3 linked regions of the Tamandua tetradactyla genome follow. The main gene of each other region encodes a partner of the protein of the gene in region 3 in a complex. Links are inferred from orthologs where the notes say so. Each region holds a gene or a part of one and is shown on either strand. Other genes may lie near its edges.

Region 1 (7,601 bases), on a different chromosome or scaffold from region 3:
TGCCTGTCCCTTCATGTGATACCGATCAAGTTATTGAACAGGATGGGCTGTGGACACATCTTCAAAATGAGGATAGCAACAGGGCTCTCATCCCGGGGTTACTGCAAAGACTGAAAGAAAAGTAAAACTGAGACTAAAGGGGGATAATGAATGCAAGTACAAAATATACACAATCCAGATCTATCTCCTGAGTCCTGGTGGCATGAATCCAGCTTCTAGGACTGCCCACAGGCCCCTTAATATCCTCCATCACCTCCTACTCTCACAAGTCAAAAGGCTGAAATTCATCCGTGCTTCCCCTGCCATCCCAGCTGTATGCCCTCTACCTTCGGGATGTGATAGCCTGTGCATCCCTTCTCTTGCTTCCAGTACAGACCCTGCCAACTCTTCCCAAAGCTGAGTTGACAACTCACGCATCTAACCATGAGTCTCCCCAGTGCCCCTATGAGATAAAGGCCTGCAAGGCCTTGCAAATTCTGACTCCGCAGCTCTCCCCGACACATTAGCCCCTGAAGTGCCACGGGCACTTCTGTTCTCCTCAATGCACAGACCCGACTCAGCTGCCACCTCCTTCCAGAAGTCTTCTCCAACCCCCAAAGTTGTCATCTCTGGGTTCCCTGTGCCTTCCCCGTCACTCTGGTCACGTAGGGATCTCCCGATTAGACCGAAACCTCCGTGAGGGCAGAAACCGCGACTTCCTAGTCCACCGTCGTATCGCCCTCCCACCCACGAGGCCGACCATGCCTCAGTGTACGTTTGTAGCATGAGTGAACGGTCAACGCGCCCGTGTCCTCATTCATTCGATCCCCGCTGCGAAACCCGAGTAGACACAGATACAAATGGACCTAACCAGCTCCGAGAGGTCTGACCTGAAGGCTTGGCCCCTCCTGGCAAGGGCACGGCAGGTGCAAACGCGCTGAGGACCGACATTACGGGCCCGACCCACCTCACCCAGCGCCTGCAAGCTCTTCACGGCGCCCACCACGGCCTGGTGCTCCAAGCCCAGCTCACGCGCCAGCTCCGCACTGTCCACGCCGCCATCCGCGGCCTCCAGCCGCCGCAGCAGCTGCTCCGCCACGGGACCATCCGCCATGGCTGCTCCCAGGGCACTCGGCGTGGCCGGGGCGCACCAGAGCCACCGGAACCGGAACCGGCGCGAGGGGGGGGGGGGGTGCTGTGCCGCCATCTTGAGTGTGGCGTGGAAGTAGGGCGAGGCTCGGGTGCCGTCATCTTGAGTGTGGCACACTATAGTCAAAAGGGTGGAAGAGACTCCGTCCCCGCCTCCGCCCTAGTACGGATAGTGATGTCTGGTTGACTAGGCAGGTCAATTTCTTGCCCTCAAGGTCAGAAGCACAGCTTTAGTTCGAGATGTCAATCAGCCGTGCCTCCAACGGGCTGCTTGACCTTGGACTTCACCCTGCGGAGGCCTCGTGCCCTGTGCCCTTCTGGAATTATTTTTTGCACTGGGGAGGGCCGTGGGAGGTGGGCTGGAGAGGTGATCACGCTGCTGGTTTCGATTTCTTTTAAATTTTCAAGGGCAGGCTGGGTAGGTACTGGCCCCATTTATAGAAAGGGGAGGTACAAGTCTAATATCAAGTTAGTAGCAGTTAACCTCTGAACTACATCCCGAGTTCCAATGCAATTCTAAATGCTTCGAGTTTATTTCAGGTCTCTACAAATCTCTATAGTGTGAACAGTGATATAATCCCCATTTCACAGATGAGAAAACTGAGGCTCAGGGTGCTCTGTACCAGTTGCCTAAGGTTCAGCAGTGAGTTGGTGAGATGGGGCCAGAAATTATGAACACTCCAGACTCCCCCATCCCACCGCTCCAAGAATCAACCTCAGATAAGGTTCTAGATGAGTGTTGTCCTACGGAAATATAAAGCGAGACACAAATGTAATTTCAAGTTTTCTAGTAGAAGCTTTAAAAAGGAAACTGGTGAAATCATTTTTAACATTTTACATGACCTACCATGTCCAAATTATCTTTTCAATGTAGAAATTAAGAATATCTTCCACACATTAGGAATGTGATTAGTCCCACTAAATTGTACATGTGGGAGTGGGTGAGATGGGGAAGTTCATGATGTATACATGTTTCCACAGTATTAAAAAGAAAGAAAAACAAGAGATGAAAGGGACAATGAAAGAAAAGATACATGGAAATATTAAATATTCAGGGAATATGATGTATACAATTTACTCTCAAATGTTTAGAAAATAGATGAATAGACAGACAGGTGACAGATAGGTATATAGATGATAGAATGATGTGGTAAATAGGGCAAAATGTTAATAGTAAGATCTGGGTATCTGCGTAGGGGGCAATATGTTGGCCATACATAGGGGTTTTGTATTATTTTTGTGACTGTCCTGTAAATTTGGAATTATTTCAAAATGAAACAATGAAGTTTATATAGTGAAAAAACTTTCACATCCTTATACCAAGTCTTTGAAATCTGAAGATTATTTTACACTGACAGCTCATCTCAGTTGGAACCAGCCACATTTCAAATGGCCAGAAGTCGCCTGTGGTTGATGGCAACTGTATTAGGCAGTGCATATAAATTCTAATCTGAGATCTGCCATTTATGTCACTTAGCCCAAATCGCTTACTCTCTCTGTGCCTTGATTTTCTTGCCAAGATTGAGACTATATGAGCCTTGGTTGTTGTCAGAGTTACATGAACTATTCTCACACAAGTATGCAGTAATTGCTAATACCAGTGGACTGTGGACATTGTGTGTCAGGCACTTTTCTCAGCCGTGTGCTTATAGAATGCAGCACTCATCTGAGCCATGTGCTTATAGGATGCACTGGCTCATTTAACCATTGCAATTATTGTTTGAATCTATAAAGTGAGGTTACAAACATCCCCCAATCTGGGTTCTATCTGCCTCTAAAGGCTACAGTGAGGTCTTAAGACAAATTCAAGAGACGTCCCCCAATGTCCCTTTCACTTCAGCTTTGAAGCACTTTCTTGGTTTGGGTTTATTTAATTCCTACAGTAATTCTTCTAGTGTTTCTTTGATGCAGCCACCCCTCCTTTCTTCATGCAGGAAGTATTTTTTTAAGTCTGCTCTGCAGCAGGTGTTGCAGGAGACAAGGGACAGTGAGATGAATGACAGCCCATTTTCTGCCCAGGACACCGAGAACAGGAGAGAAGGGGGCGGGGTGGGGATCAGTGGCAGGCCTGGTATGGTCACCTGGATTTCTGCTTTCTCTGGAGGGGGGGTTCAGGTTAGGTAATGGTGGATACTGCCCCGGGGGTAGGGGCAGGACCCCAACTTCTCCAAGGCTCCTCATTCCTCCCCTTCCAGGGTCCCCACCACTAGAGGGTAAGCACCCCCTTTGCCCTTTTCCCAGAATTCCCCCCTTTCCCCAGTCCGCTTCCACCTTCCCAGTTCCTGAGCCAGTTTGCTTCAGAGCTTGGAAAACCCCTAGCCCTCCTGCCTTCCTCCTCCATGCAGCCTGGGGGCAGGGAATTGGTGTCAGTCCTGTGTCCCTAGCTTCCTGGGAAGACTTTAGACCCATGGGTCCTACGCACCTCCCTTGGACCTTATCTTCCCCACCATCTGTTTATTTCTTTTCTTCCCCAACGGAACCCCCTACCCTCCTGCCCTTAGCCGTTTAATTGCAAAAGCCAGGCCGTTTGTGGGAAACCACAAGACAGCGACCCCTTTCATTGACAAGCTGAGTGGGGAGTAAAGAGACCCCACCCACCCACCCTCGGAGCCTCAAGCCACATCTTCCAGCTTTCTGGGCTTCCTCCTTTCAGTTCCAAGACCTCTCTAAAGGCTTTTAAAGCATTTCTGCTGGGCAGTAGCTGGCCAGGGCGTCCTTCCCGGTCTCTCAGGAGTTCCTGTCACTTCAGAGGGGCTAGGTGACATGCCCCAGGGCACGCAGTAGCAGGCATGGGCGGGCGAGGTGACATGTACCAGGGCGCCTGGGCGGGCGAGGAAGAGGGCGCGGACACCGTCCCTGCTGAACGGCATGGCTGTCTCCTCGGCACCGGGGCGCAGGGGAGCCCCAGGACCTCAGCACCTGAGCTCTGCCTGCCGCCCTCTGCTCCATGTGGGAACGGGGCAGGGTGGAGAACATAGAAAAAGCTTCAGGGTGGGCTTCCCCAAACGCAGGGCGGAATGTTGCTAGGAAGCTGCGACAACCTCTCCGGGCAGCGAGGCTGGGTAAGGAGCGAGGCAGGGGCCGAGGCAGGAGGTGAGGTAACACTGCTCCCCGCGCAGGCTCTTTAAACGCCAGAGAACAAGAAACGCGCGAGAGTTACGGCGGCGCGGGGAAGAGGGTTGGTCACATGACCCGGCCCGGCGGGCTCGCGGCCCCCACCCCACCGGTGGGCGTCCCCCGCAACGCGTGGTGGGCCTTCATTGGCCGGTAGCGCGGCCAATAGAAATCGGCCATCTGGGAACCCTTCGTTCCGAGGCACAGCCGAACCTGCTGGGCCGACAAGGGTCCAATGAAAAGAGACGTCCGTGGGCACGGACCAATGAGAAGGCACGGGGGTCCGGACCAGGTTGGCTTGAGGGGCGGGCGGGTATAAAAGCCGGCGGCCGGCCGCGGCGTCCGTCCCCGCTGCAGAACGGCTGCCGGACGTGCTACTTAAAGGGACTGTGCGCCGCCGCCGCCGCCGCCGCCGCCCCCTCGGCTCGCCATGCTGCTATCGGTCCCGTTGCTGCTCGGCCTCCTCGGCCTGGCCGCAGCCGAGCCTACCGTCTACTTCAAGGAGCAGTTTCTGGACGCAGGTAACGCCTGGTCCCGCCCGAGGCCGCCCCGACGACGCGGCAGGGTCCCCCCCCCCCCCCGTCCCCCAGCCTCCGGATCTGCGCTGTCGCCTGTAATTATCTCTGAGAGGGCCAACACGGTGGCCCCCGGGGACCGGAGCCGCGGGCGGTCCCTCCTCCTGCCTCTCTGGGGAGCGTGGAGGTCGCAGCGGCCTCCCACAGCCGGGTTTCGCCCCAGAATCGCGTTAAGTTACCTGAGGTGTCAAACCTAGAGGTTGAGTGGAGGGCGGGATCGGAGGAGGACCCGAAACCAGTTCTTGGTCTCGCTCAACTATTGGGAGTGGGGGTGGGGTGGCTTAGCACGGTTCCCTTGACTTGCTCCTCTGCACCCCCCCAGATGGGTGGAAGGACCGCTGGATCGAATCCAAACACAAATCGGATTTTGGCAAATTCGTTCTCAGTTCTGGCAAGTTCTACGGCGACCAGGAGAAAGATAAAGGTAAGAGCTGGCGGATAGATCCCCGAATCCAATGGGGGGGGCTGCCTAATGAAAGCTGGTTGCCTCACAGAGCTCAGGCATCCCCAGAAACAGGACAGAGGGAAGGAGTGAGGGTTGGGGTCAGTTGTCCTCGGGGCATAGGGTTTTTGGGGTAGGGGCTAAGGCATGACCCCATCGCTGTGTTTTACCAGGGCTGCAGACCAGTCAGGATGCCCGCTTTTATGCCCTGTCCACTCGGTTCGAGCCCTTCAGTAACAAGGCCCAGACACTGGTGGTGCAGTTTACTGTGAAGCACGAGCAGAACATTGACTGCGGTGGCGGTTACGTGAAGTTGTTTCCTGACAGTCTGGACCAGACGGACATGCATGGCGACTCGGAGTACAACATCATGTTCGGTGAGGGGCCCGCTCTGGTGCTTGACATCTATCCCCTTCGTCAAAGGGAGACTGAGACCCAACGGTTTCCTTAGGTAGTGAGAGGTGGTTCTGACAGCACAGAACGAGTTTAAAAAATCAAACTTTTAGAAGGGTTGCCGAGGGGGGAGTTATAGTACAGCAACTTTAAAATTTTCATTGCTGGTTTGCAGACAGGTGTGATCCCATGTGCTTTTCTCTTGGTTTTATAAGTGTAGATACTTGGTTACAGGAATTTTTAGACCGCTGCATTTTTTTTTTTTTTTTTTTAAAGGAAAGACAGAGAGAAGGAAGGAAGGAAGGAAGAAAGGGAAACATTTTTAAACATTTTCTTGTTTTATTGTATTCTGTTTCTCCGTTTTTGTTACATGGGCTGGGGCCGGGAATCGAACCGAGGTCCTCCGGCATAGCAGGCAAGCACTTTGCCCGCTGAGCCACCGCGGCCCGCCCTAGACCGCTGCATTTTTAAGAAACAAGTTTCCTTTTCGTAAAGAGGAATTGAGGGCTTGCAGTGGTGGGCAGCTTCTGGCTTCTGACCACACCTGCTTCCCACCTAGGACCCGACATCTGTGGTCCCGGCACCAAGAAGGTTCATGTCATTTTCAACTACAAGGGCAAGAACGTGCTGATCAACAAGGACATCCGTTGCAAGGTGTGTCTGAGGGGTGGGGTGGGGGTTGGTGGGGGGAAGGGCAGGAATCCGGGAGGGCGGGACTGCTCACCTCCCACCCTCCTCAGGATGATGAGTTCACACACCTGTACACACTCATCGTGCGGCCCGACAACACGTACGAGGTAAAGATCGACAACAGCCAGGTGGAGTCGGGCTCCCTGGAGGAGGACTGGGATTTCCTGCCCCCCAAGAAGATTAAAGATCCCGATGCCGCCAAGCCAGATGACTGGGATGAGCGGGCCAAGATTGATGACCCCACAGACTCCAAGCCCGAGGTTGGTGCCTGGACAGGGACCACCACTGTGAAAGGGGTGGTGGACATGTGGGCTCACTCTGATGTCCTCGTGGTTCCCCGACTCTCCCCCCCTAGGATTGGGATAAGCCTGAGCACATCCCCGACCCTGATGCAAAGAAGCCTGAGGACTGGGACGAAGAGATGGATGGAGAGTGGGAACCGCCAGTGATTCAGAACCCTGAGTACAAGGTGAGCTTGGGTTCCAAGTAAGGGCTGGGGTACAGGGTGGGGAGGGCACCGGCCTCTGTTCACCATGCCATTCTCTTCTTCCCCAGGGCGAGTGGAAGCCCCGACAGATCGACAACCCAGATTACAAAGGCAAGTGGATCCACCCAGAGATCGACAACCCTGAGTACTCCCCTGACGCCAACATCTACTCCTACGACAGCTTCGCTGTGCTGGGCCTGGACCTGTGGCAGGTGCGACCCAGAGTGGGAGGAGGATCCTGGGGGCACCTCAGGTCACCTGCGAGGGAAGGGACAGGGTAGGATTCAGACCCAGGCAGGCCCGACTGGAAAATGCTTTGAGAGCCCTGTTGCTGTGAGGCCCTTCCTGAACCTTTACAGTCCTAAAGGCACTTATTGAGTGCCAGGGCTCTCCCTGAGTACCTGTCATTCCCTCCACCAATCTCGGGGGTGGTCAAGCAGCCCTGTTAGAAAACTTTGCTTTGCTAGCAGTGGCAGAAATTTGAAGTCGCCAGCCTAAGGCCATACAGGCGGGAAGGGGCAGAGCTGGATTGGAACCCACCCCTTGTGGGTCTCGCAGCCCCCATTTTTTAACTGCAACTTTAGCTGTGCTGCTTGGTCCATGAGGTGCTTCTTGACTGCTGCAGAGATGCGGCGGCATCTAGTGGTTACAGGAGCACCGCGGGTGGGAGTTTTCCCAAGGCCAGGGCCGTCTTGGGTAACCCACTCCTCACTCCATTCACCCCCAGGTCAAGTCTGGCACCATCTTTGATAACTTCCTTATCACCAACGAT
Region 2 (7,241 bases), on a different chromosome or scaffold from region 3:
AGACTGAACCCACCCAACAGACCTCACACCACGTCAGCAAACCGTGGTCTAATGAGGGCCTGGGTGGAAGGGCACCCACCGACAGCGGCCGGGGCTGTGCTGCCCACATGACCACTCACCAAACATGATGTAGTATGGGGACTTCCCGTTCAGGTTCTTCTGGTCCAGGTCTGCAGGGAAGACCTTGAGGTAGCCGCCACCGCAGTCCATCTTCTGCTCGTGCTTCACCGTGTACTGAATGACCAGCGTCTTCCCTTTGTTGCTAAATGGCTTGAAGCGGGCAGAGATGGCGTAGAATCGGCCATTCTGGGTGGTTTGCAGACCTTGAAGCAGAAAGTACTAATGATAGATAGGGAGTGGCATTGTGCCCAGAGAGGCAGGGAAGGTACACGGATGTGGTGCCCCAGACCCCAGAGAGAAACAGTTAGTCCAGTGCGACAGGGAACTCAGACACCACCACCAGCCAGCCCTCTGCTCTCAAGGAACTTCTACTTCACGCCAGGGATGTTTTTCCCCTTCACAGAGCACTGCAGTGTTTTAAGTGACAAACACACTCCAATTCTAAATGACAAGTACACATCTAACTATGGGCCTGAGGTTAATTCGGCCCCTTTCTTCTTCCTGACCATGAGAACATACACCGGAGGCTTGTGTGGTAGCTGGGTGAAAAACAGAACGTTCTATTCCTTTCCTCCAGTTCTCAATCTTCAAACAGCTACTTAAGAAACAGGGGAGCCAATGAGAACATGAAACCCGGGGTGGCTGGTGGGTACTCAAATGCCCACCGCCCTAGGGTAGACCCCTGCAAGCTCTCATCTGTTTTGTTGCACAAATAACCAAGTATGTGCTTTCTAAATTTAGGCATTCACTTCAAAACAAAAACTTCCTTTCTCAGTAGCCACTAGGAACTGTTTCAAATCCCTCTCTTAGACCGGAGCTTGTCAGAATGTGGAGCCATTCTTCCTTCCGTCCACCCCTCCTTGCTCCATGCCCTGCCTTACCCCTATACCTGCCTATGCTGAGAAATCAGAAATGAACTCGGGGTTTTGTCTCGTTATGTCAAAACCTCAGGACTGTGTTCCCCGCACCGGCACCCCTCTTCCCTCTGTTTCTAAGGGAGTCCATAGCCCCAGCCTCTCCCATACTCGCACCACCCAGGCAATTCCCAAGCCAGCTGATTTGCAGCCTTCTCCTGTTGTGCAGCCACCCTCCTCTTGCTCTCTCCACCTCCCATCCCTGTCTGGATAAATTTCACTCATCTTGGGATTCACGGCTTCAATGTCACGGTCCCAGGAGATGACGAGGGAAGGGACCAAATTAACTGGGTATCCCAAGTGCTTTGCCTGTGTCTGACAGCAACAGCCATATGCCGAACAAATGAACACAATGCACAGAATCTCAAAGGCTTCATGTTAGAAAAGGGGGGGGGGGGTGTGAAAAACAGACACAGAAACAACTCAGAGGAGATTACATGGAAACCTCTCTCCCTTGACAAGTTCCATCAAATAACCTGTCAGTTTTCATCCCACCTTTATTTACTACATGGCCTCAACTTTTACCAGCTATTCAGGTCAATGCATACCTTACAAAACAATGCCTATACCACCCAAAGCTAGAGGCTGCCAGAACAGGGCAGCGTTGCAATAACAGGGTGAGACAGTGGTTGAACAGAAGGTGGAGAAGAGGGAAAACTTTTCATCTACAGCACAGGTTGGCAAACTTTCTCTGTAAAGGGTCAGCCAGTAGCCCCTTAGACTCTGTGGGTCAATTCCTGGACTCTGCCTCTATAGTGAGAAAATCAGCCCCAGACATGTAAGCACACGATGTGGCTGTGTTCAGAAAGACTTTACGGGTGCTAAAATTTCATGCATTTCTTTGACCTTCACATGATTTCTGCATGTCACAAAATACCACCCTCCTTTTGATCTTTTCTTCCCCCCGACAATTAAAAAAACATGTGAAAACCACTCTCGGCTCACTGGCTGTACAAAAACAGGTGACAGGCAAGCTGGTTATTGCCGACCTTGGGTGAAAACCACCAGAAATGAGTTTATCCTTGCTGCAGGTGAAAGGGGCCAACTGCGAGAGGGACACAAGGGATGCCTCTCCCGTGGCCACACAGGGGCGAACACCCATCAACTCGAACCCCGAAGAGTTGTGCACTTGACATCACACACGTGGGGCAGCGATTTCTTTCTTTTTTAACGCGGAAAACAAAAAGCGGCAGGGAAGTCCCTCTGTGGGGCCAGACGGGTCCCCATCATCCTAGCTGATGAGTGGTCACGAAACACTAGGATGCTCTTGGGAAAGGAAAGAAGAAACAAAAAAACTGGCAACGAGGACCCTTCCTCCCCGGGCCTCGGTCTTCCTCCCTGTAAAGGGGGTGCAGGCAGGGGTCGGGGCGCCCCCACACCTCGCTCGGAAAGGCTGCCACGGGGGCTTTGGCATTCAGCATGGTTTCTACACTAACCTTTGTCTTTCTCTTTATGACCATAAAACTTTCCCGACGAGAGCCTAAAATGCCCAAATTGGGAATCGTTGGTCGACTGGACCCACCGGTTCCTCCAACGCTCTGCGAGGCGGGAAGGGGGGAAACGACACCGGTCAGGGCCGAGGGGGGCCCCCTCTGGGTAAGGGGGAGGGGGGGAGGAGGAGGGGAGGGGAGGTGGCGGGAGGGGGAAGGGAGGGGGAGGGGGAGGGGCCCTCGAGGCTTCGAAGCTTCGAGACTTCGCGCCCAGGACCCCGCGAAGTCCAGCCCGGGGCCAACGGCGACTCGGCCGCCCGCTGGACAGCTGGTGGCGGGGGAGGGGTCCGCACGCCTCCCCGAGGGGCGTCGCCCCTTTCACCTCCGTCTAGAAACTCCTCCTGGAAGTAGACGGTGGCCAGGACCACGCGCAACACGCACACGGCCCAGAGCGAGACGCGAGTCGCGGCCATAGCCGCTGGGCGGCGCCTCCTCTCGCAACCGCCCCCTCGCTCCCTGCGGCCTCCGCGCCGGGCAGCGGAACTACAACTCCCGACACACCCCGCGATTGTGACCTGTCGCGCCATTGGAACCCCCCCCCGCCCCGCTGTGCACGCCGGACCCGCCCCGGAACTACCAATCCCGTCATCCCCAGCAATTATGACCCGTTGTGCTATTGGCTCCCGGCGCGTGGTGCAGGCCGGGAGATGTAGTCTCTTCCTCCCCGGCGCTGTTGCCTGGGGCAACGGTGTCCTCAGGCCTCTGCGCCCCGCCAAGCGTGTCAGCGACCACCATGGATGGACAGCGAGGACAGAGGTCTGCGGGCCCGGCGGAAGAGCTTTGCTCTCGGGCTTGGGAGAGGGGTGGCGGGGGGAGGGGTGCGCGCTCGGGGGCGGGGCGCGCGGCGGCCGGGCATTTCCCCGTCTAGGGCCCCCCTCCCCCACAGGGAGTGTGGGCTCGTCGCGCCAAAAGCCGGGATGCTCTCAGGGGCGCCAGGGTTTTCAGAGGTCGGTTTATTTCATTTTGAGCAGCTCTGTTGAGAGAATTCCCATACTGTAAAATTCACCTGCTTGAAGTATGCAATTCGGTTGTTTTTTTGGAATCTCGAGAGTTGTGGCGCCACCGCCACAATCCAGCTTGGGAACTTTTTAACATCGCCCCGGAGAGCTCGCCTCTCCCCTGTGCAGCCCCCACTCCCACCCCCGCCCCTGCACACCGCAGATCTGCTTTCTCTCTGTGGACCCTCCTGTTCTGGGCGTTGCGTGTTCGCGGAACTGGGCGGTGTGTGATGTTTTGAATCTGGCTCTTTCACTCGGCGTGATGTGTTTGCGGCTCATTCACGAGGTGGCGTGTCAGTGTCCATGTTTATTCCGGAGTGATACTCCATCGCCAATGGACCACGGCCTGCCGTCCTTTCCTCAGCTGACAGACACGTTTGGGTGGTTTCCCTGCTCCCTTTAGGAACATTGGCATGCAGGTACTGGGTGGCTGGAAGCTTTCATGTCTCTCCTGCAGAACTGCCGGGTCCTGTGGTATCCCCATGTTTAACTTTTTGAGGAACTGCTAGACTTCCAAAGCGGGGACTCCCCGGTTTACCTTCCCCTCCCCCCGCAGCCGCATGGGAGGTCCAGTTTTCCCACGTCCGGGTCAGCAGGGACTGTCCTCTGTCTTTTCGATTCTAGCCATCTGGGCAGCTGTGCAGTAATATCTCCTTGCAGTTTTTATTAGCTTTCCCTGAGAGCTAGTGAAGTTGACCATCTTTCCATGTGCCCACTGGCCGTTCACGTTATCGTTCTGCTCAGATCTTTTGCTCTGGCTTTATGTTGAAGGCTGGGGGGACTTTATGGAGAACTAGAAGCCCGAAAACCTGGCCTAGATTCTCAGCCTCAGCTACAGGTGTTAATAAAGGTGGATATTGGCACTCTTTCGAGCTGTGTATGTCCAAATCCTGTGCCGGGGCTTGTCTGTCACCACACCCTGCAGCTAAAAGCAACCCCATCTTGCAGGTGCCCTAAGCGTGGCCTAACTTTAAGTGATCATTCCATGGCCCACGCAGAACCTGCTTTAATTCCTTTGCTCCTTATAAAAACCCTGCAGGGGTGATGTGATAGCCACTCCCCCCCCCCCTTTTTTTTGGTTTTTTAATTTGTGCTTATTTTTTTTGTGAAGAATAACATACATACAAAAAAGCACTAAATTTCAAAGCACACAATTATAGAACAGATTTCAGAGTTTGGTATGGGTTACAGTTCCACAATTTCAGGTTTTTCCTTCCAGCTGCTCCAAGACACCAGAGACTGAAAGAAACATCAATATAATGATTCATGAGTCATACTCATTTGTTAAATCCTATCTTCTCTTTTATAACTCCACATTCTCCTTTGATCCTTTTTAATTATTCATTTTTTATTGATATATATTATATACTCATAATCATCCAAAGTGTATAATCAGTGGTTCACAATATCACCATATACTTGAGCATTTATCATCACCGTTGACTTTTTTTGTGTGTGTGAAAAATAGCATATACAAAAAATAAATTTCAAAGCACATTGCAACAATGAGTTGTAGACCAGATTTCAGGGTTTGGATTGTAGACCAGATTTCAGGGTTTGGTATCGGTTACAATTCCACGATTTTAAGCTCTTGTACTTCTAGCTGCTCTAAGATACTGGAGACTAAAAGAAATACGAGCGTAATGATTCACAGTCATACTCATTTGTTAAACCTGACCTCTGTATAACTCCACCTTCACCTTTGATCTTTCCACTCTTCCCTTTTTACGGATGAGGAAAACGGAGACACACAGCAGGTCAGTAACTTCCCGGTATCACTCCGGACTAGGAATTTGCAGATGTTTCTTTAAGGTGTGGTTTTCCATCTACTGAGCACTGCTGCGGGCCAGGCCTGGGCTGGCCTCTCTCGATGCTTAGATGGTTTAAGATGCAAATGAGCAAGCAAACTAGCTCACCCGTCAGAGCAATGGACAGTAAGATAAAAACTTAATAACCATGGTAACCATAATTCATTCTTATACCAAATCTTCAGCTTTAGATTAAAAACTTTTCTTTGCCGAAGTCATTTTTGAGTTCAGCTTCGAAAGGAGTGTTAATGTGAAAACCTTGTGTCTGATGCTCCTTTTATCTACCTCGTCAACAGAAGAGTAGAACATATGGAATAAAAATAAATAATAGGGGGAACAAATGTTAAAATAAATTTAGTTTGAAATGCTAGTGGTAAATGAAAGCAAGGGATAAGGGGTATGGTATGTATAATCTTTTTTTCTCTGTTATCGTTTTATTTCTTTTTCTGTTGTCTTTTTATTTCTTTTTCTAAATCGATGCAAATGTTCTAAGAAATGATGAATATGCAAGTATGTGATGATATTAAGAATTACTGATTATATATGTAGAATGGAATATCTTAATGTTTTGTTTGTTAAATTCTTTTAATTAATAAAAAAAAAAGAAAGGAGTGTTAAATACAGGATTTGCCAGGTTTAGTAAATAATAGTACAGTATACCCTGTTGAATTTGCATTCCCTGCTTAAATAAATTTTTAGTATAAAAATATTTGGAACACACTTATTTTTCAATATAAAAGCTTGTGGGACCCACTCAGACTAAAATGTTCGTGGTTTTTCTGAAATTCAAATTTCACTGAGCATCCTTTGTTGAAGCTGGAAACCCTAAAAATATCATTTTCCAAGTGAACAGAAAAGGAAAGGGGTTCCAGGTTTCATGGCTTTTTTTTTTTCCCTCTCTCGGTACGAGTGACACTTGCCTGAGCCAACACATTTATTTAACAGCTGCATGGCGTTCATTTGCTGAGGGTCTCTGCGCTCTGGCAACTCTTACTGACGGTTGGGTTTTTGGCGAGTACATACACAGCTGCCTTGAATCTCCTTGAACACACTGTTCAAGAGAAAACTCTGCACTTTTGAGAGTATAAGTGGAGGTAAATTCCTAGACATGGAACTGCTGGGCGAACGGGTCTGTGCCTTGCACATTTTGGTGGCGTTTTTCTCCATTCCCCACGAAAGGGACTGCAGCAGACCCATACCCAGGCACGCTGTCATCGGCCTCCTCTTGAGTCTGTAGAGCTTTTGGGACTCTTCAGCTGCCTCTTGTCCCTCAGAGGCATGTAGGAACTCTGAGAGGCTGACGGAAGTGCTGGGCCCTCTCCCCAGGTCAATGTCACAGTGGGGCTGTCTCGGTCTCGAGGGGCTGCCATCACCAAGGACCCCAAACCAGGAATTTCAAACTATAGAATCTTACCGTTGTCCCCTGTTCTGAAGGCTGGAAGCACAGGCCGCGCCCCCTCTGAAGCCTGGGTGAGGCGCCCTCCTGGCCTCTGCTCCATCCCTTGGCACCCGTCTCCGTGAGGCCATCTTCTGTCCCTTCCTTCTGTCTGTGTGTCCTCATTTCCTCGTCCCATAAGGACGCCAGTCCTGTCGGGGCAGGCCTGCCCTCCTCCAGCTTAGCCTTATCTTGACTAATCCTGTCTTCAGAGACCCTGTTTCCAAATCAGATCCATCGTCGGAACCAGGGGTCAGACTTGGGTGGGTCTTTTTGGACGACACAGTTCACCCCATAATGGGGTGGGGGGAGATGATGTGTTTTTCCATAGGTATCCCATCTCCCCCGTCCCCCTGGGAATGGTTCTCACACTTGAAGGGAAGTCAGATTTTCGGGGGAGCTGGTTAATTGTCCACACTGGGTTTACGTAGCTGGTGGGAGAACACCGAGCCCTCTGGGCAGAGGGAGCTGCCCTG
Region 3 (7,822 bases):
CACATGGGTAGTTCAGTGGTAGAATTCTTACCTGCCACTGGTCTGATACCCCCCCAAGCACTTCCCCTACCCCCCACCCCCACCCCCCAAAATTCAACAAATGGTACTGCAATGATGGGTACTCACATGGAAGAAGAATGAAATGTGACCCCCACCATACAGCATACAAAAAAAAAAAAAGCTACAGAGGCAGTCACAGGAAGGAGCAGCAGATACCAAATCTTTACTTTTAAAATATATATCTCACGCAACAGACATACAATAAATGTTAGGTCTCTGCCCCTTTCCTTCTCTTTCAACCCAGTGTATGTTTAAAAGAAGGACCCCTGTACTTTGCTCCTGTGCTGGGATATCCACTGGCCTACCTCACACATGCTAAAGCTATTAAATACAGGACACCATTTTAAATGTGATTACTAAAACCAAATAATGCCAAAAAAGCTTAAAAATACGTCACACAAAAATGTGGTAGGATAAGGCTATTTTGGTAAGATAGTAAACATTACTATGGCAATAAAAAGGATGGATAAGATAAAAACCAAAGGACTATGGCAGACTTTCTTCTTTTTGAGCTTATTTTTGTAATGAATCTGCAGCTTCTGTAATAACAAAAATAAACAGTTATTTAGAAAAATAAACCATTTCACTGTGTACCTGTTATACTGCAGGCACTCTCATGTTACTGCCCTGAAGCTGAATTACCATCATGTGAGAGAGACACTTATTTTCTCCATTTTGCAGATGACAATAAAACTGAGACCCAGAAAAATTAGACTTGACTAAGGTTATATACCTAATAAGTGATGGAGCAAGGTTGCAGTCCAGGCCTTTTAAGCTCAAGCCATTTTCACTTTTCATTTCTTCACATCACAAAGAGCAAACTGTTATTGTTCATGATATTATGAAGAAAAAGCCTGTGGTGAGACCTTTATTTTTTTCAATGTTTTTTTAATTGAAGAAAACAAGCAATATACTTACACTTAGAACCACCAAAAATGGCTATCTTAGTTAGCTTAACCATAGGCATATTTAAATAAGTATCCATATAATCGTTGTAAAACCTGTGTTTGTGTAGTAAGTTTAAAATTTAAAATTAAGGCAACAAGAAGAAAATCTACAAATTCACATAGCAAGGTTCTCAAATTCTAAGTATTAAACACTAACTTAGATATCATTTGATCAGCTTCGAAACTGTGAATGTTCTCAAAATATAATAGAAAGTTCTTACAAATATCTGCAATGCTATAGTAATGACCTATGTTACTAAATATTTTCCTGATTTCAGGAAAATATGAAATTGAAAATACTTTTACAGTTTACATATGGAATCTTAACCACCTAAAATGGGTATCTTAGCTTATCCACAGGCCTACATGTGGTGAGACTTTTAAGAGCACCTGCTCTGTAACCTTGGATAACTCATATAACTGCTGGGGACTACAGTTTCCTCATCTGATAAGCGAGAGGGCTGGAAAAGATATTCAACTTCTAAAAGCCCCTCCTGCTAAATGATTTTAAGTCTAGGCACTACCTTGAGAGAAGCAAACCCTACAAGAATTAATCGATGGGGAGAAGCTGAGGCTATATCCTGGGCCAAGAGCCATTCTCGATGGGAACAGGTGATGGGAAGTCATGAGGAGCGAACCACTGGAAGAACCATAAACTTCCTAGTTAAAGCAGCAGCTGAAAACATAAGTTTTGCTTTACTAACAGCACTGCTTCAATCTCAGGATCAAAATCCACATAAACAGTAAGTAAAATTAGAAAAACAAATTGGCATGGGGGAAAGACTATTACTGGAGCAATAGTTTATATGTGCTCAGTGGTTTTCCAAGTGGACTCATTAATGGTAAAAATGAAAGCACCCTGGGTGATTCTACAGAGACGCCTTCATCCTTACCAAGGATTTAAGAAGCTGGGACTTGCCTAGCACTCTAAGAGATGCTACCCTTGAGGAAAAGGGCCTACCAACAGTTGTCAAAAATGTGAAAAACGCAATTAAAGCCTCCGCAATCCACAGAGGATCAAAACCAGTGAAAAGACCTTTAAGAGGTGAAATTTCTGTGAAGGATTCACTGGGTGTTTGTAGCCACTTACACTGCAGACGTTATAAAGCCCTCTAATGCTCCTTCAGAACTGTTATTTGGCCTTTTTACTCGCGGGTAATAAACGCACAGAATTACTCTGCTAGCGAGAAGGAGATTCCATTTTGCTGAAACAGGCTCCGACACAATCTCACCACCTTCCCCCCAACCGCGGGGGTGAGCCTACACCAGTGGGGAGCTTCCTAGGGCCTGTGCGATGGTCTTGGAGAATTAAAGCATCGAGCCCGGAGAACCAGGACCAAGGAAGCACCGGCTGCAAAGCCAAAGCCGCATCTCCGGCGAAGCAAGCGCTCCGGGGTGCGAGATTCCAGCCCCGCCGCTAGGCCGGGACTGGGTGGACACCCGACGTGGGGGAGGGCCGGCCAAGGCCCGGCGGACGCGGGGCGCAGAACCGGGGGCTCCCGAGGATCCTGAGAAGGGCGGCGGTCCGGCGGCCCGACCCGGCACCGAGAACACGTGGGGCGAGGGGCGGGGAAGGGGTGTCCGCGCCGGCAGCCCGGGTCCGGCTCGGCGGCCGGGCGGAAGCGGAGATGCCCCTGGGCAAGGAGCGAGGCCCTTTGGCCCCGGACCGGGAGAGAGGAGGCAAAGCCGCGAGCAGCGCGGGTCTCCCGGGACGCGGCGCACGCGCCGGGCAGGCGCGCGGGGCCCGGGCAGCCGAGGACCCCCACACGAGGAAGGAGATGGCAAACCAGGCCCGGGGGCGCGGGGGACGAGCCGCGGCCGCGCGCGGAGGACCCTGTGAACCGGGGCCGCCCGGCCCGGACCCGCCCCGCGGCGCCTCCCTCTCCCTCCCTCCCGCCCGCGGCCCGTTATCCGCGGCCGCTGCACTCACCAGCGGCTGCACCTGAGCCCGCCGCTGCCTCCGCTGCTGCCTGCGCCTCCGCAGCCGCCGCCGCCGCCTCGCTCCTGAGGCCGAGTCCCGTGGGAGCCTCCTCGTCCCGCCGCCGCCGCCGCCGCCGCTGCCGCCAGAGCAGAACACCCCAAAATGGCGGCACTTCCGGCACCTACCACCGGCGGGAGGGCCGGGAGGGGGCGCGAAGGGAATGTACCACCGCGGCGCCCGCAGCCCGGCCGGGCCGAGCGCGCAGGGGCGGGCCGGGCGTCGGCGCTGCAGCGCCCCCTCGGGCGGGGGCGGGGGGCCGCAGCGACGCGGGCGTTGGGCGGCTGGCGGAAGGTCCCGCGGGGAGGACCCGCCGGGGTGCAGCCCTTTGTCTCCGAGCTTGGCTGGGGGCGAGGGAAGACCCCGGCCTGGGGGTCTGGAGCGCGAGATCTGCGGCCTCTGCTGGGCGGCCCGCCCGGCCCCGCGCTGAAGCTGCGCGTGATCCGGCAGCGAGGAATGAATGCGGGAGGGAGCGCTCTCGGCCAGCCCCGGGCACGTGGCCCACTGCCCTTTGCCCAGCGAACAGCGGCCGGATCCAGGCCGGTCCCCTTCGGTGCAGGTGTGTGGAATGTGCGCGGTTGCAGAGTTAATGATGACACCGCGTGCACGCACAGCCTCGCAGAAATGCCTGCAAGGCCAGCGAGCCCAGAAGGGGTCTACCAAGACAAGATTGCCTGGCCCTGAGCAGCTTTTCCCAGATCTTTTTTTTTTTTAACAGCCCAGGTGGGGTTCCTGAAGACTTCCTTCGGAGTGACTCGGAAATCTCAGGGTGTAAGCGGAATGCAAACAATATAACAATTGTTTTAATGTAATTTTATTGAGGTGCATTCACACAGGGTAAAATCCAGCCAAAGTATACAAAGGCTCACGGTATCATCACATAGTTCATCACCGCCTTCAATTTTTTTTTTTAATCATCACATAGTTGTATACTCATCACCATGACCATTTTTAGAACATGTGCATCACTCCAGAAAAATAAATAAAAAGAAAAAATCCCTACGTCCCATACCGCCTACACCTTCCTCTCATTGACCACTAATATTGCAATTACCCAATTTTTTTACCCCTCATCCCCCTATTATTTAATTATTGATTCAAAGTTAAAAAAAAAAAAAAAGCGACATTCTTTATCCCGCAGGTTCCAGAACTTGTGAATCAATGAAATACAGATAGAGAAAAACTTAGTTCTGGGACTTTTTGGCCACACCAACGTGCAAATAACTCATGGGTTTGTAAATTATTTCTCTTACATCATCTGGCTTCCCAGAGCAAATAATTTTCATACCCACAAATACTGATTATAGCCTACTTTACCACAAAAAGCAACAAGTGGGCACCCGAGCAGAAGCCTCCAGGGTTTTCCATGTATTGGAAGGACCTCACTCCACTTCCCCGGGGTGTGTGGGGTGGGGGCAAACCAGCTACAGTTTTTCTGGTCGGTGTACATGGGACAATTAGCCCCTAGTTTGTACACTATCATATTCCCTAATTGAACTGTATCATTTATCATTTTATATCTACATAATCCTGATAGATGAACTTGTTCTTGTTAATGGCTTTATGTGTAATTTACTGAAAGCCTCCTGTATTTATAGACCGTTATAGTTTTATAGCATGCCACATATATTATCGCAATTAATTTTATATTTGTCTCCCAGCTGCCATGGACTGCAGAGACTTTGCCTCATTGTTTTCCGGGCTGTGGTGTCATCCAGACACCCGTAGGGCTCACCTCCTTTACCTTCCCTGACCGCCCTAGTTAAAATTACACGCCCACATCCACCCTTCCAATCCCCTTTCTTGCCTTATTTATGTCCAAAGTACTTATCACCATTTGACATGATGTATCTTGTACTTATAAATTAGCTATTTTGTTTCATTTGTGGTCTCCCCCACCAGAAGGGAAACTCTATGGGGTTGGAGACTTGGTGTTTTATTTCGCCTCCGGGTGTGCAGGACGCCGCGGCAGGAGTGGAGCGCAGCCGGCGGCCCCTGCAAGCGCTGGCCGTGGAAAGGTTGGGAAGCTCTCCACGGCTTCCTTGGGCGCGCCTGTGAGCTGGGTGAGGGCGCGGCCGCGAGTGTCCTCAGGCCCGACACGGCGCCCGCCAGGGCCGCGGGGGGAGGAAGGCAGGGACACGCCCGGGGTCGCCTCCGGCCCGCGCCCGCTCCCGCCCTCCTCGGGCGTCGCGGGAGAGCCCGGCCTTACACCCTGAAGCCGGGAACCCAGGCGGGGCTCCGCCGCCCAGGCAGCCCGCGCGAGAGCGACGGCAGCCCCCGCAGCTGGACGTGGGAGGTGCGGAAGTAGCCGCGCGCCCTGCGGTGTCCGCGCGTCCCGGGAGCCTGGGCCCCGCGCCCCTCGGCAGCGCCCCGCGGCCCCGCGCTGCTTCCCATAGCTGTGCCGCTGCGCCGGGGCGCCCTTGTCGGAGAGGAAATGCCAGTCCTTGCGGGGGCTTCGCTAGGGTCCCTCTCGCATAAGGTACCCGGGAAGCCACAGCCGTGAGCTCAGAGCTGGCAGGGGAAAAACAGTTACGTGGAGAACAAAAACAGGCTCCCATAACTTCAAAGGCTTTCGCCAGCACAGGCCAAATACCAAACAGCTTAATGATCAAAAAAAGCCTGATGTGACATTAAAAAGAGAATGTAAAGCTCTGTTTCATTTTTCGCTTTCCCAATCGATAAAGATTTGTTCTGCCCAAGTGCTGGTACAAGTAACACTCACATCATCTTTCTGGAGAATTAGAAATTTTGTGCACTTTTCCAGAATGTATCCTAAGGAAATAGTCGCGGGTAAGTACAGAGCCGTAACATTATTTCAAAAGCACAAAATTGGATAGACAAGGAGATTGAGCAAATAAATCATGATATAATCACAGCCTAAGATATTATACGTAATTTCAAATAATGATAAAATATCTATGTGAGAAAATCTTCAGGATACATGACTCGTGAAAAAAGCGGGTAACAATAAGTACAATATGAATCCAATCTGTAATAAAACACATTTAAATCCTTGATCCTGCTCTAATGTTTGTGTATGGGGTCCGATCTGTCTTTTCTTTTTCTTCTTTTTCCATGTGGATATCCAGTTGATTCAGCACCGTTTGCAAAGACCATCTTTTCTCTACTGTGACTTGCTGTTTTTTAATTCTCATGCATTGTCGTTGAGAATGAGAATTGATATAACCTCTTTGGAAGACTGTTTGACAGCATTTAGCTATTTTGCTAAAGCTAAATAGCTCAATAAACTCTTACCTTATGATGCAATTCTACTCACAGCAGAATATTTATTTTTACCAAAAGAATGGGGTAGCAGCATTTTAATAACAGCCCACATTGGAAAAAAGGACTAAATTACTGAATATTCTAATAATGGAATATTTATGTCAGTGAAAAGGATCACACTGTTGTTCCTACACCCCCTGGGATGAATTGCACAGTCACAAACATTGAGCAAGGCAAGCCCAAAACAAAAAAGCATGTATGACATGTGGAAGTCAGGTTCATGTGTCACCTTTGCCAGGTGATGGTGACCAGTTGTCTGGTCTCAGGCAAGCGCTGGCTTGACTGTTACTATGAGGACATTTCCTGAACTTGACTCATCAGTGAGTGAATTACATTTATGGTGATTGCATCTGCAGTCAGCTACGAGTGCTGTCTTCCCAATGACAGACATTTAATCCTGTCAGTTGTAAGTTTTTCAGGGAGAGGTGATAAATTCAGCAGTCAGAAGAGAGAACTTTTTGTCTCTACTATAGCCAGCCAGCCTCTCCTGGGGAATCCTACGGAATTTGGACTGGTATATCCCCGTAGTTGTGGGAGACATTTCTGTAAGATCTCATATTTACACATATTTCCTATTGGTTCTGTTTCCTACGAGAACCCTGACTACTACAGCTTGGTACCGAGAGCGGGGTAGTTCTTGAGAAACAGAATCTTAACAATGGGGTTTTGCAATTGGTTTTCTAGTTTGATTAGATTCAAAGGCACTGATGAGTCTATTTCCAATAATCAAGGTGGCACTGACAGTCCATGGCGCGGGGTGGCAATACAGATACGATATGCAAAACATCTCCATTTGTTTCTGCTAATCATTCGCTTATATGAGGCAAGACTCTGGGTGACAGTGTTTTTGACACCTTAACAGTTTGTGGAGTTATAATGATGTTGACTGGCTGGTCCTAGATAGGCTGGATACAATTAGAAAGGGATGAACCGAAGGCTTCAAATTTGCAGCTTAAGTGCCATATGAAAGATGTTAAGTTTCTACGTGTGCCCTGAAAGAACATCTTGTTTCCTTTGGTCGCAGACTTGAGATCTCTGAAAACCAGACTCAAAAGTCTCCTTGTGCAAGCAGATTTACAATGCAAACCAAATTCTCAACCTTGCAGGGTGTCTGCTGTGAAAGTGAGGGCATTAATTGGAACAGGATGGGCTGCTGACACTTGGGCCGGGGACACATGGGTTGACAACGATGGCAGTGGGGACACTGAAACCCTGGATTCTGGTGAGTCCCTGCTAGATAAACCTGTAATGGACTGCCCTGAGGAAGGAGCCACCCAGCCTCCAGCCTGCCCTAAGGAAACAGCTTGCTGACTTCCAGTCTGCCACCCAACCTCCACCAGAAGAGATTAACCCTTTACTGCCTGCTAACCCTGTAATCACCTCCCCCTAGAGAAACAGCCCTCACGCCTCTGTCTGGAGAGACAAATCCTGTTTCACCAGATGAAACTGCAAGGAGAATGCCCTGGAGTAATTGGCTTGAAAGACACTTCTCATTCTTTTCATCACCCACCACCACTCCCCAGCTTTTCTTCCCAGCCTATAACTAGACTCA

What was found. Proteins that work in one complex are often made in the same cells at the same time.
Region 1: CELF1 (region 3) and CALR share a complex: the UniProt entries of both Homo sapiens proteins name them as parts of the EIF2 complex. The link is inferred for Tamandua tetradactyla from reciprocal best matches to the Homo sapiens genes CELF1 and CALR.
Region 2: CELF1 (region 3) and CALR3 share a complex: the UniProt entries of both Homo sapiens proteins name them as parts of the EIF2 complex. The link is inferred for Tamandua tetradactyla from reciprocal best matches to the Homo sapiens genes CELF1 and CALR3.

The regions. Positions count from the first base shown.
Region 1 is NC_135337.1:89,723,112-89,730,712, reverse strand, and holds the start of CALR (calreticulin), read left to right. Parts: upstream 1-4,578; 5' UTR 4,579-4,672; coding exon 4,673-4,763; intron 4,764-5,139; coding exon 5,140-5,241; intron 5,242-5,432; coding exon 5,433-5,636; intron 5,637-6,211; coding exon 6,212-6,306; intron 6,307-6,392; coding exon 6,393-6,602; intron 6,603-6,697; coding exon 6,698-6,811; intron 6,812-6,897; coding exon 6,898-7,041; intron 7,042-7,556; coding exon 7,557-7,601. Other genes in the region: FARSA (phenylalanine--tRNA ligase alpha subunit), read right to left, coding at 947-1,093. UniProt on the Homo sapiens protein: Calcium-binding chaperone that promotes folding, oligomeric assembly and quality control in the endoplasmic reticulum (ER) via the calreticulin/calnexin cycle.
Region 2 is NC_135337.1:95,052,553-95,059,793, forward strand, and holds the start of CALR3 (calreticulin-3), read right to left. Parts: upstream 3,024-7,241; 5' UTR 2,938-3,023; coding exon 2,847-2,937; intron 2,573-2,846; coding exon 2,471-2,572; intron 324-2,470; coding exon 120-323; intron 1-119. Other genes in the region: C11H19orf44 (uncharacterized protein C19orf44 homolog), read left to right, coding at 3,258-3,280. UniProt on the Homo sapiens protein: During spermatogenesis, may act as a lectin-independent chaperone for specific client proteins such as ADAM3. Required for sperm fertility. CALR3 capacity for calcium-binding may be absent or much lower than that of CALR.
Region 3 is NC_135334.1:124,238,746-124,246,567, forward strand, and holds the start of CELF1 (CUGBP Elav-like family member 1), read right to left. Parts: upstream 3,028-7,822; 5' UTR 2,938-3,027; intron 1-2,937. UniProt on the Homo sapiens protein: RNA-binding protein implicated in the regulation of several post-transcriptional events. Involved in pre-mRNA alternative splicing, mRNA translation and stability.